Arabidopsis thaliana: one gene and its partner. The protein of the gene in region 1 interacts with the protein of each later gene in a pairwise test. Each region holds a gene or a part of one and is shown on either strand. Other genes may lie near its edges.

What was found.
Region 2: the proteins of CER1 (region 1) and CB5-E interact in a two-hybrid assay, tested with the Arabidopsis thaliana proteins (one study listed by BioGRID).

What each region holds. Positions count from the first base shown.
Region 1 is NC_003070.9:416,845-422,846, reverse strand, and holds CER1 (Fatty acid hydroxylase superfamily), read right to left. Parts: upstream 4,100-6,002; 5' UTR 4,030-4,099; coding exon 3,970-4,029; exon of another isoform or gene 3,924-3,969; coding exon of another isoform or gene 3,861-3,923; coding exon 3,637-3,860; intron 3,551-3,636; coding exon 3,318-3,550; exon of another isoform or gene 3,198-3,317; coding exon of another isoform or gene 3,173-3,197; coding exon 2,953-3,172; exon of another isoform or gene 2,354-2,952; coding exon of another isoform or gene 2,334-2,353; coding exon 1,958-2,333; intron 1,864-1,957; coding exon 1,756-1,863; intron 1,657-1,755; coding exon 1,456-1,656; intron 1,322-1,455; coding exon 1,214-1,321; intron 1,128-1,213; coding exon 939-1,127; intron 867-938; coding exon 693-866; 3' UTR 589-692; downstream 1-588. Other genes in the region: AT1G02190 (Fatty acid hydroxylase superfamily), read right to left, coding at 5,051-5,224, 5,327-5,599, 5,685-5,885. UniProt on the Arabidopsis thaliana protein: Aldehyde decarbonylase involved in the conversion of aldehydes to alkanes. Core component of a very-long-chain alkane synthesis complex. Involved in epicuticular wax biosynthesis and pollen fertility.
Region 2 is NC_003076.8:21,757,477-21,761,231, reverse strand, and holds CB5-E (cytochrome B5), read right to left. Parts: upstream 1,904-3,755; 5' UTR 1,768-1,903; intron 1,616-1,767; 5' UTR 1,605-1,615; coding exon 1,518-1,604; intron 1,285-1,517; coding exon 1,218-1,284; intron 1,130-1,217; coding exon 879-1,129; 3' UTR 654-878; downstream 1-653. Other genes in the region: AT5G53570 (Ypt/Rab-GAP domain of gyp1p superfamily protein), read left to right, coding at 1-308; YSL3 (YELLOW STRIPE like 3), read right to left, coding at 2,456-3,393, 3,472-3,589, 3,678-3,755. UniProt on the Arabidopsis thaliana protein: Membrane bound hemoprotein which function as an electron carrier for several membrane bound oxygenases, including fatty acid desaturases.

The DNA of each region.
Region 1 (6,002 bases):
ATATTTTTATATTTCTATTAGGTTTTGTTTTTGATAAGTGTTAAATTTTTAAATTTCATGAATTTATTCGTAACTTCATATTTTTATTTACATAATTATTTTTTAAATAGTACATTATCACTAATTTAATTATTTGTTAGTTTATTTAAGAAAACCAATAAATAATTTAAAAAACGGTGGTGGTATCCGTTTTGCCCGGCTCTAGCCACTGTGTATGAGAACTAACTACTAACTAACACCAATCAATGTATTCAAAACGGTTATTGACCACCAAATGATTTGAATAAGATAGGTGTTTCTCCTATAAGTGATGAGAGACCATTTGAATTGTCCTAGTAATAGCATCAAGCGATCCAAATGCTATGTTCTATGCTACTTAAATTTTGTAGAACTATAAAGTCTAGGAGTGGGAGAAGAAAAACTTAGATATTCTGGAACATGTTTGCTTTATATATATATGTTTCTTAGTTCACAAAGAGAAAAGGAAATAGTACTCTTATTAATACCATAGTCACCGAGCTTAATTTGACTCTATCAATACCATAATCACCAAAAGCTTGATATGCATAAATATATGTGTGCGCTTTATATATGTTTCATAGTTCATTTGTGCGTGGAAGAGCTGGATCATAAGGAAAAGAAGCACAGAGCGTGTCGCTCTCATTCTCCTAAAATCTTCCAAGGTTGGAGTTTTAATGATGTGGAAGGAGGAGAGGCTGGAAGCCGTGGCTGAGACAGGCTTCCCATACTTGGTCCAAATCCGAGAGAAGAAGGGATGTGCCACACTCATGCATTTCCCATCCTTCTAAGGCGTGCAATATGCCGGCCACTCTAGTTGCACTCATCGCCTTTCTCGGTAACCAGTTCTGCAGATGTTTTTTTTATAATAAGGACCTCTTCTAATAAATTAGTTGGATTGGGTAGCTTTGAATGCTTACCTCACAGGAGTGGACATTCACCAGAGATTTTGGAACTATCAATGCTGGTGTGGTATGATAGATACAATCTCTACGTAACTGCTTGAGGGGGAACTGTGAGAATGGTATAAACAATGTCCCTTTTGTGGCTTTTTCCTGCTCTTCTCTTGTTGTTCCTTCTCCCACCAGCCATACCTTCACCCAAAATCCCTTCATTAGTTTTCTTTATATAAGCTCTTTGAATATTTTCCTTCTGATTCTTTGATTAATTGTGCTTCTTTTGTATACTGAATTACCTTGTTTGATGAGAGTGCTTCAGAGGTTAAATAGACCAAATGGTCTCTGCATTCTTGTGGAACGCATGATCTTATTTTCTCATACTCGTCTAGGCGCAGAGTGGAGACCTGCGGATGACATTCACATGAAAATGTTACGAGTCATGAGCATAAATACATGTAGATAAAGCTTGGATTTTATTTTTCTCCTAGAGATCATCAATTTGATATCACAACATAGGAGCAAAAGGAAAACAAAGGACCTGAACGCCTCTCTGGCAGAGAGCAGAGGCGATGGTGTAGGCAACCTTAGTGAGATTGCCTGTCATCACGACGCTTGTAGTTGCTTTGGGTACACTGTTGATCACAACAGCTGCTGCTAATCTACTGCCGTCGACCAGTCTCACTTTCATATCTGGATGGTTGTGGATATACACCTCTCCGTTCCTGTTAAGCTCCTCCCCCTGTTTCAGTTCATCAAATTAAAGCTTTAACATACACTACGTAGTACGTACGGCATCTACCCAATATAAAACCAAAACAGTCAGAGATAGTTTCTTTACTTGGTTCATGAGACCCAGACTAAGCACCTTCACTCCTTTCTTATCTGCCTCCAGTATCGCTTTCTCAATCATGTTATTGATCGCTTCTTTCCTCCATTTTAACAAGTACTGCATGCATCATATATATATCACCATTAATATATATGCATCAGCAAGTTAACCAGCCTATATATATGATGATGATGATGATGATGATGAGGACCTGTAGATTATATCTAGGTATCACCCAAGACTGCAAGTTGAGCTTGTTGAAGGAGTTTCTCTCAGCGACAAAGAGGCGGGCGTAGAAGAGCGTGAATATCATGGAGAGAGAGGTGAAAGGCCACAAAAGGCGCATGAACCATCTATAAGCGAAGGGGTAGGAGGCAAATGAGGCCAAGCCAATGCGCAAATGGTATATGGATTCTGGCGTCGTCAGGTGAGTTAAGTGCACCACGTCCACTATATCATCTCCTCTTTCTAGAGTTTTCTCGTACAACGTATCCGTGCTTTCATCCATTGTGCCGTAGATGTAGTCATACAAGGGCATGAAGAGGGAGTAGTTGGTCCGGAACTGCGTGTGGTGCAGCGAGTGGTATCTGCAATTCTCATGCTCCATTTATTATCCAAACTTTAATGTATTTTAACTATTAAATTTTGCTTTCACATTGCGCTAAATTAATACCGAAGGAAAAAAAGTCACAAATATTTAAAAGTAAATATGAATCCAGAAGGTTTAATATAACTTGAGCGTTTAGAGGGACCACCTGCTACATATCGACTAATGAATTTGATATTTAAAATAGTTCTCAAAGGATGTTTGGTTAAAGATGCTATCAATGCGTAAAGTTGTGGGAAATTGGATTATGTGCCGATAAGTTGAACCATGTAAGATATATTAAATAATTGTTTTTTTTTCTGTTGTGGTCCAGGGATTCAGTAGTTGACGATCATATTAAGCATACAACTGTATCACGTCACCTTTATTTTATACAGGAATGGAGTACGTGTATGGAATTCTATTATAATAGCATATATCCCCTGTATTAGTATGATTTATCATTTGCTTAGATTTTATGATGACCATAAGAGGATTAATTAATATGATCTAACTAGGTATTTGTATCAGATCATCAAGAATGGTTTCTTGTAAATGCTTTTACTACGCCAAATTGGTAGTGTATGAAACAGAAGAGGAGTTGTTAATTAAGGACTTACGAGGGGGTGTAACAGAGGAACTTGAGGGGAGGAAAGAGGTGGAAAAGGCGCTTAGGGATTAGCTCGAAGTTGCAGTGTCCCATGTTGTTCATGAAGTCTATGTAGATTATGTATCCGGCGAACGAAATTATTGACGCCGTTTTTGTTAGCAACGTGGTAAGTAGTGGTATCGCGAAGAGGATGAAGTATGCTATGTGCTCCGCAAACGGATGTATCACCGCTGCATACATTTGATCAAATCCCATTATATACAGATAAAAGCTACTAGTTAGGACGTGAACGATGTATATTTTACGTATAATAATTATAAAAAGAAAAACGGAAATATAGGCAGCGTAAAAATCAAGGTAAGAAACAATAGTTACAAGTGATGGGCTCAGTGACGATAGAGGAGTGGTGGTGGGAATGGTAGCGGGAATAAAGAAAGTGATGGTGGAGAGCTTTGTGGAGCCAATAATAGAGGAACTCCACCGGTCCGGTGTGAATAAGCGCTGCCATCAACACTCCGTCAGTTCTCCACCAGGGAAGTTGTTTGGCCTCCGGCAATAGGTTGATGCCTATATAGAACAGCACTCCGTTGAACAATATTTGGTCATCCCTGCGCATATATCAGGATTTCATTAGTTACGTTGATTACATATACTCACGAGGCACGCAGGTAGTTAAAAATTTAGAAAAGCGCACCAGTTGGTCTCCCTGTCGACCTGATTGAAGTCGATTCCCTTGTCGACGATGCGTCTCTTTCCCGAGGACGTATAGTAACGGGACAGAGAGATCCAAACCTGGTTGTGCAGAATTCTGAAGAGCAAGAATGGGAACACAAGGAAGTACCCGAGATCCCTCTTCTCTGGATCATCTGTCACAAACCTGTATGTGCTATGGACAGCCCATGGTGCTATTACGATGTACTTTTGTATTGTTTCAATGTCAAGAAAAACATATATATCAGTAACGTAACGGGATTCGATCATAAGCACGCGTTTTTTTAAATTTAAAGGACAAGAAAACAGAGTGCACCTTGAAACTTCCGAGGGGTGTCCAAGGCCAATCGGTGAGGACTCCTGGTTTTGTGGCCATTATACCGTCGAATGTAATATGTTTGTGTCGTCACTGTGTCTCTTCAACTCTTGTGAGCCAAGGTACATTATATAGCAAGGTTTATATTAAACTCCTTAATTGGTAGATATGTGGAATGACGTAACCACCCCTATCTTCCCACCAGTCCAATTCCTTGTGGTGGGGCCAGCTAAGACCAAACATGTACTACTACCATTCGATGATCTCCACATGGATCCTCATTTATGACACTCAGCTAATTACCCCCTCCCACCTTCATCGATGTTCTGATATCATATCCATGCCTTGAGGAAATGCACCGGTTGATGGATGGCTTCATATATTTATTTCTGGATATTATTGAAAGGTAAGGGTATTTTACCAATGAAAGAATACTAATGAACCAAGTTGGGCATGTGTTAGGTATTGATGCTTGGAATTTACTAGCCAATCAAGATCATGCACGTTGAAGCGCCAGCTAGTGTCTGTTGCTCCGACATAAATGAAAGAAAAGTGAAAATATCTAGATCTAAGGACTAACCCCTTATACGAGAGCTATGAATAATACTTGTACGTTTCGTTTTTAGTAACTCCATCTCCCACCGCCACAATTTATATACGTATACGCACCCTACCAATCCTTAATTAGGTAGCAAGTGGACCATGCGGGGTAAGGACCATTTAAGTAAAAACCTCGTCCAGTTTTTGCAACTACTTTGATTTGATGATGCACCCAAATATATTTTGTTTTGTTTTTTTGTTTATTTTGTTAAATAGGCACGCAGATATATATCACTTAGTTAAGATGTAATGATCATAGCACTGTTTCTGAAGATTTTTATTGAGTTTTATAAAATTTAACTAAGCATATCATACGACGAATTTTTTTGCCCTTTCTAACATATATGAAGCACGTGGCACCAAGGGTAACAAGGGTACTTATATATTGTCGATAGAAAAACATAGTAAACAGCAAACAATGATGGAAGGGAAGTAGATATAATCAAGAAAGGGGACATAGATGTATGAATATGAAAAAAGCTCATAGAGGAGATGGTGGGAGAGGTTGGAAATCATGGCGAAGAGCAGCTTCCCATATGGCGTGGAGACGGAGGACGTTGCAAGTGTTGCCGCAGTCATGCTCCTCCCAACCCTCAAGTGCATGCACTATACCTCCTATTTTCCATGCACTCATCACCCTCCTCCCCAGCCAGTTCTATATATATATAACAACCATTCATTCATTATAGATGAACACATCTATCAGCTTATATAATATAAAAGTTACAGATATATCTATAAGAATTCAAAGATGTACCTCACAGGAGTCGATGTTTTGGGCAGACTTGGGAACACGCATAGCTGGAGTGGACTGGTAGAAACAGTCCTTGCGGAGTTTGTTGGGCGGAAAGTGAGAAAAGGGAACAAAGAGGGTTCCTTCTTTTGCTTTCATCTGCTCTTCGTTCTCTATTCCATCCCCCACCAACCACACCTTTGGGGAGTAATAACTATTGCTTGTAGACAGTACCAGATTCTTGTCAACCCCAGATTTGATGAGTTTGCTGTGTTCCTCCTCGCGTAACACGACCACCTATATATACACATTACTACATTATTTTTTGTTTGATATGAGAAGCTGAGTATATATATTCCAATTCCCTCATATATTCACAAACCTTGACGCCCTTTTGGCACAGAGCAAAGACAACAGCCGAAGCCACCTTTGTGAGATTTCCTCTAAAGACAATTTCCGTGGCTTCCTTTGGAATATTGTTGATAACCACCGTAGCTGCCATGCTGCTCCCGTCCACTAGTCTTATCTTCAACTTCGGATACTTTTGCACGTACATTTCTCCAGACCCGTTTAGTTCCTCCCTCTCATTAATTAATTGTGTGTTGATTAGTTACTTTTTTCTTTTGCCAGCGTGTGTAATTAGTTACAGTACTTATCCAATAGTGATTCATATATATTTAGGGGGATTTGAAGTAAATAA
Region 2 (3,755 bases), on another chromosome or scaffold:
CGCTGTGTCTCTGGGAAGTGATGTGGGCTGATCAAGCTGCCATTAGAGCTGGAGTTGGGAAGTCGCCATGGAGCAGAATCCGGCAACAAGCACCGCCAACGGATGATTTGTTGCTCTATGCAATCGCGGCGTTAGTACTACGTAGGAAACTGATCATACAGAAATACAGTAGTATGGATGAGATTGTGGAAGAGTGTAATAGCATGGCTGGTCAGCTTAATGTCTGGAAGCTTCTTGATGATGCCCATCATCTTGTCGTGACGCTTCACGACAAGATTGAAACTCTTTCTCAATCACAGAGTATTTGATGAAGAAGTCGATCAAAGCCAGAAATGAAGTGTTTCCACTACACAAAAGCCCTTGCACTCGTCTGGCTGCGTTTTCTCAAGGTTTAAAGTTTGTTGCGGTTTGGTTCTTACCGTTTTCACTCCTCTCTTTCTTTCTTCTTTCTTTTTGTTTACTCATCACACAGAGAAAACACAATACTACTATCCTTATCGCTTTTATTGTAGTACTAATGAAAAAGACAAGGCAATATTCTTGTTAAAATGTAACGGATGAGTCTGAAACTGTCATTTCCACAATTGTATGAAACATATTTGTTCAATTGTAGAAATCCAGTTTCTCACTTCTTTATCAAGCAGCTTAAGTTTGGGCAAATCAAGCAGTCTTTTATTATATCATCAAAGTCGAAAACACTGTCATCATAAACTCAACACAGTAAAACTAGTAGCAACACAATGATTTTTGGTTCGTAATTTCAACAAGAATCAGTCTAAGACCAAACAACAGTAACAGTACTTTTTTTCGCAAGAGAGATAGACAGAGATCGGTAGAGATATTCAATGACAAGCATCAAAGCAAGCCTTTGGCTTCTTCTAGTCTTTCTTGGTATAGTGACGGACGACAAGAGCCAATCCCAAGATCAAGATCGGAACAAGGAACTGAAGAATCTTGATAATGAATTCTGGTGTCTTGTCTTGGTTGTAGGCTGGTTGCTGTGGTGCAACGTATGTCCTAGTTGCTGGAACACTAGACGAATCAATCTCACCAATGAAATATTTGTCCATCATGTCCCTTGCAGTGTCGCTGTGACCAACGTCTTCAAAATCATTTGTAGCATCTTTCCCTGCAAACAAAACACCACATCAGAACAGAAACAGTCACCGAGCCGCTTCAAATCCGCCTTGAATCAGAGAGAAACACAAGTTTTATACCTGTTGAGGACAACAAGACTTCATCGCCTCCAGGATGATCATCCATGAATGGAGTCACATCATACACCTAAAGAACGCAACAATCACAGATCATAACCAAGTAGTAGACACAAACTCTGTTTCTCTAGTGTGAATTAACATAGAATCAACTAAATCTACGAGGGGCTCGATTAAAGCTTCTAACAGTAACAATCCAACTCTACAACTTTAAAATCGAAGCTTTGACACAAATCAATGGCGGAAGAGAACTAAGTTCGTCAAAAAACAGAGATGTTCTCAAACAAAGAGACAAGATCTAACCTTGCCGGAAATAATAAGCCAACAATCCTTAGTTTTGTTGTGCTTTGAAACTTCTTCAAAACTTAGAACCTTCCGATCTGAAGACATCTTCACTCAAACTGCAAAACAAGAACACATCAAAGCTACTAATCAAAATTTCTGATAATACAGAGTACTAGATACAGATTCAAATCGAAATCATCAGAACGATGATGAATGAACGAATATACTAATTCCCTTATCGATTTTTGGAAAAAGATGGGATCTTTACCCTTTCAGATTCAGAATTTTCGATAGCTCCGAAGCTCAGAAATCAGCAGAAGACGGAAGAAATAGAGGTTCCTCACCTACTTAATTGTGTTCAATATAAACAAAATACGAAACTACCCTCGATATTTTGCTTAGGGTTTGGATGAGCAGGGGTAGTTTTGGTCAAGTTGGGCTTTGACTTTAAACAAATCAAATTGGGCTTTGTGCAAATCAAATTAAAATTTGGTTTCCATTTTTGACGAGATTTTATTTTGGTCCACGTTTGGTACTTTGAAAAATACAAATATGACGTGTGCTGAATTGACAAAAAAAAAAACAGACACATAAAGTGTGATCTAACAACGTTTAGCAGATTTCAAAGAAAGAAATAAATCTTAAAATAGAAGAATCTTGCCTTTTGTCAGTAAAAACATATACCAATTTAACCGTATTTTTATCACTATTTTGGCAAATATCTTCTGGAATTTAATTCCATTTGACCTTATTCTAAAATATTGAGTTTCTTTTTGGGGAGAAGTTACTTGGGACATGGATTTTTAAATAGAATTGAGAGACTAGTTTATTACTTTATTGTGTATACAAACTTACAAAGTACAATTCCTATATAAACTGTTTTTTTTGTTTCCACAATTCTTTAGCTAATTTTTTTGTCGCTACACAAAAAAGTAAAAACTCGTAAAAAGCTATCTTTAACTCGAATATTTACTCGGCATGAAGCCCATACATATAGGAGGTCTAACGCCGGCCAAAGCAAGAACCGACGACGGCAAAATCCATAGACCATCTCCACATATCAAACCGGAAGCAACCGCCGGTACCATTAAACCGGCTTTAACTCGATCTCTCATATTCCAAGCAAACACAATCAAACTTCCCACACACATATCAATAGCAAAGTACCCTCCAACAAGAAACGGAACCGCCATTGCCATCGGTAATGGAACCCAATTCCCTATCTTATCCGGTAACCTATCCCTAACGAGATTTGCCGCCACCGCGAATGCGAAAAACCCGTAACAAAGCTGTAAACAATGTTGAGGCAAAGCAGAGAAACCTTCAACTCCAAGAATTGCCATGTTTCTGTATACCAAAGCGTAAGGAGCTTTGTACTCTCCCTCCTGGTTCCCGACATCGAAAGCTTTATAAAACAAGAAGAAAGTTAGAGGCGCCACAACGCATCCGATCGCTGTACCGATCGCTTGACTCACAAGCATCGACCTAGGTGAAGTCAGAGTCAAATGTCCTGTCTTGAAATCGTGCATTAGGTCAGAAGAAATCGATACAATCGATTTTATCAACCCGCATCCGACAAGTCCCGCGACTACACCATTTTGTTTCCCTGCCATAGCGGCTAAGATAAACAGAGCGACTTTACCATAGTTATAAGCCATGTTCATATCTGTTAGCCCTGCTCCATAAGCGTTACTGAAACCTAACGATGGAGCTAACATGTAAGCTACGACTATGAAGTACCATTTCAGCTCGGGGAACATTATAGGGATCGCGATGATCGAGACAACAGAGAACGCTGCGTATCCTACTGCTGCAACCCATAATGGAATGCTGTCTCTTACAAAGATCTCATCTCTTTTAAGATCTGCAATAGATTGCTTATCTTTCTCCGAATCTGCGATTTACGTTTGAACATCAGATAATACATTATTGAAATGACGATTTTTCTATAGTTTTTTTGGTGTATACTTACTAGATTTCCCAGAGTTGCGATTGTTTAACTTGACGTACATGTTTATTCCTGTCTTAAAAAGTATCTTGATGAATTGGTAAAGCCCGTCTCCGAGGATCAATGAGATTGATATAAACACCTAAAGAGTTATGAACAAATTAAGAACGAAAGTACGCGAAAGAAAGGGCGGAGTTTATTGTAGAGTACTAGTGTTTTTTGTATGGAACCTTGTAACCATTGAGACTCTTCATGCTGTTTTCAGGAAGAGTTGATGGGAACCAATCTCCTTTAAGACCTTTAATGAG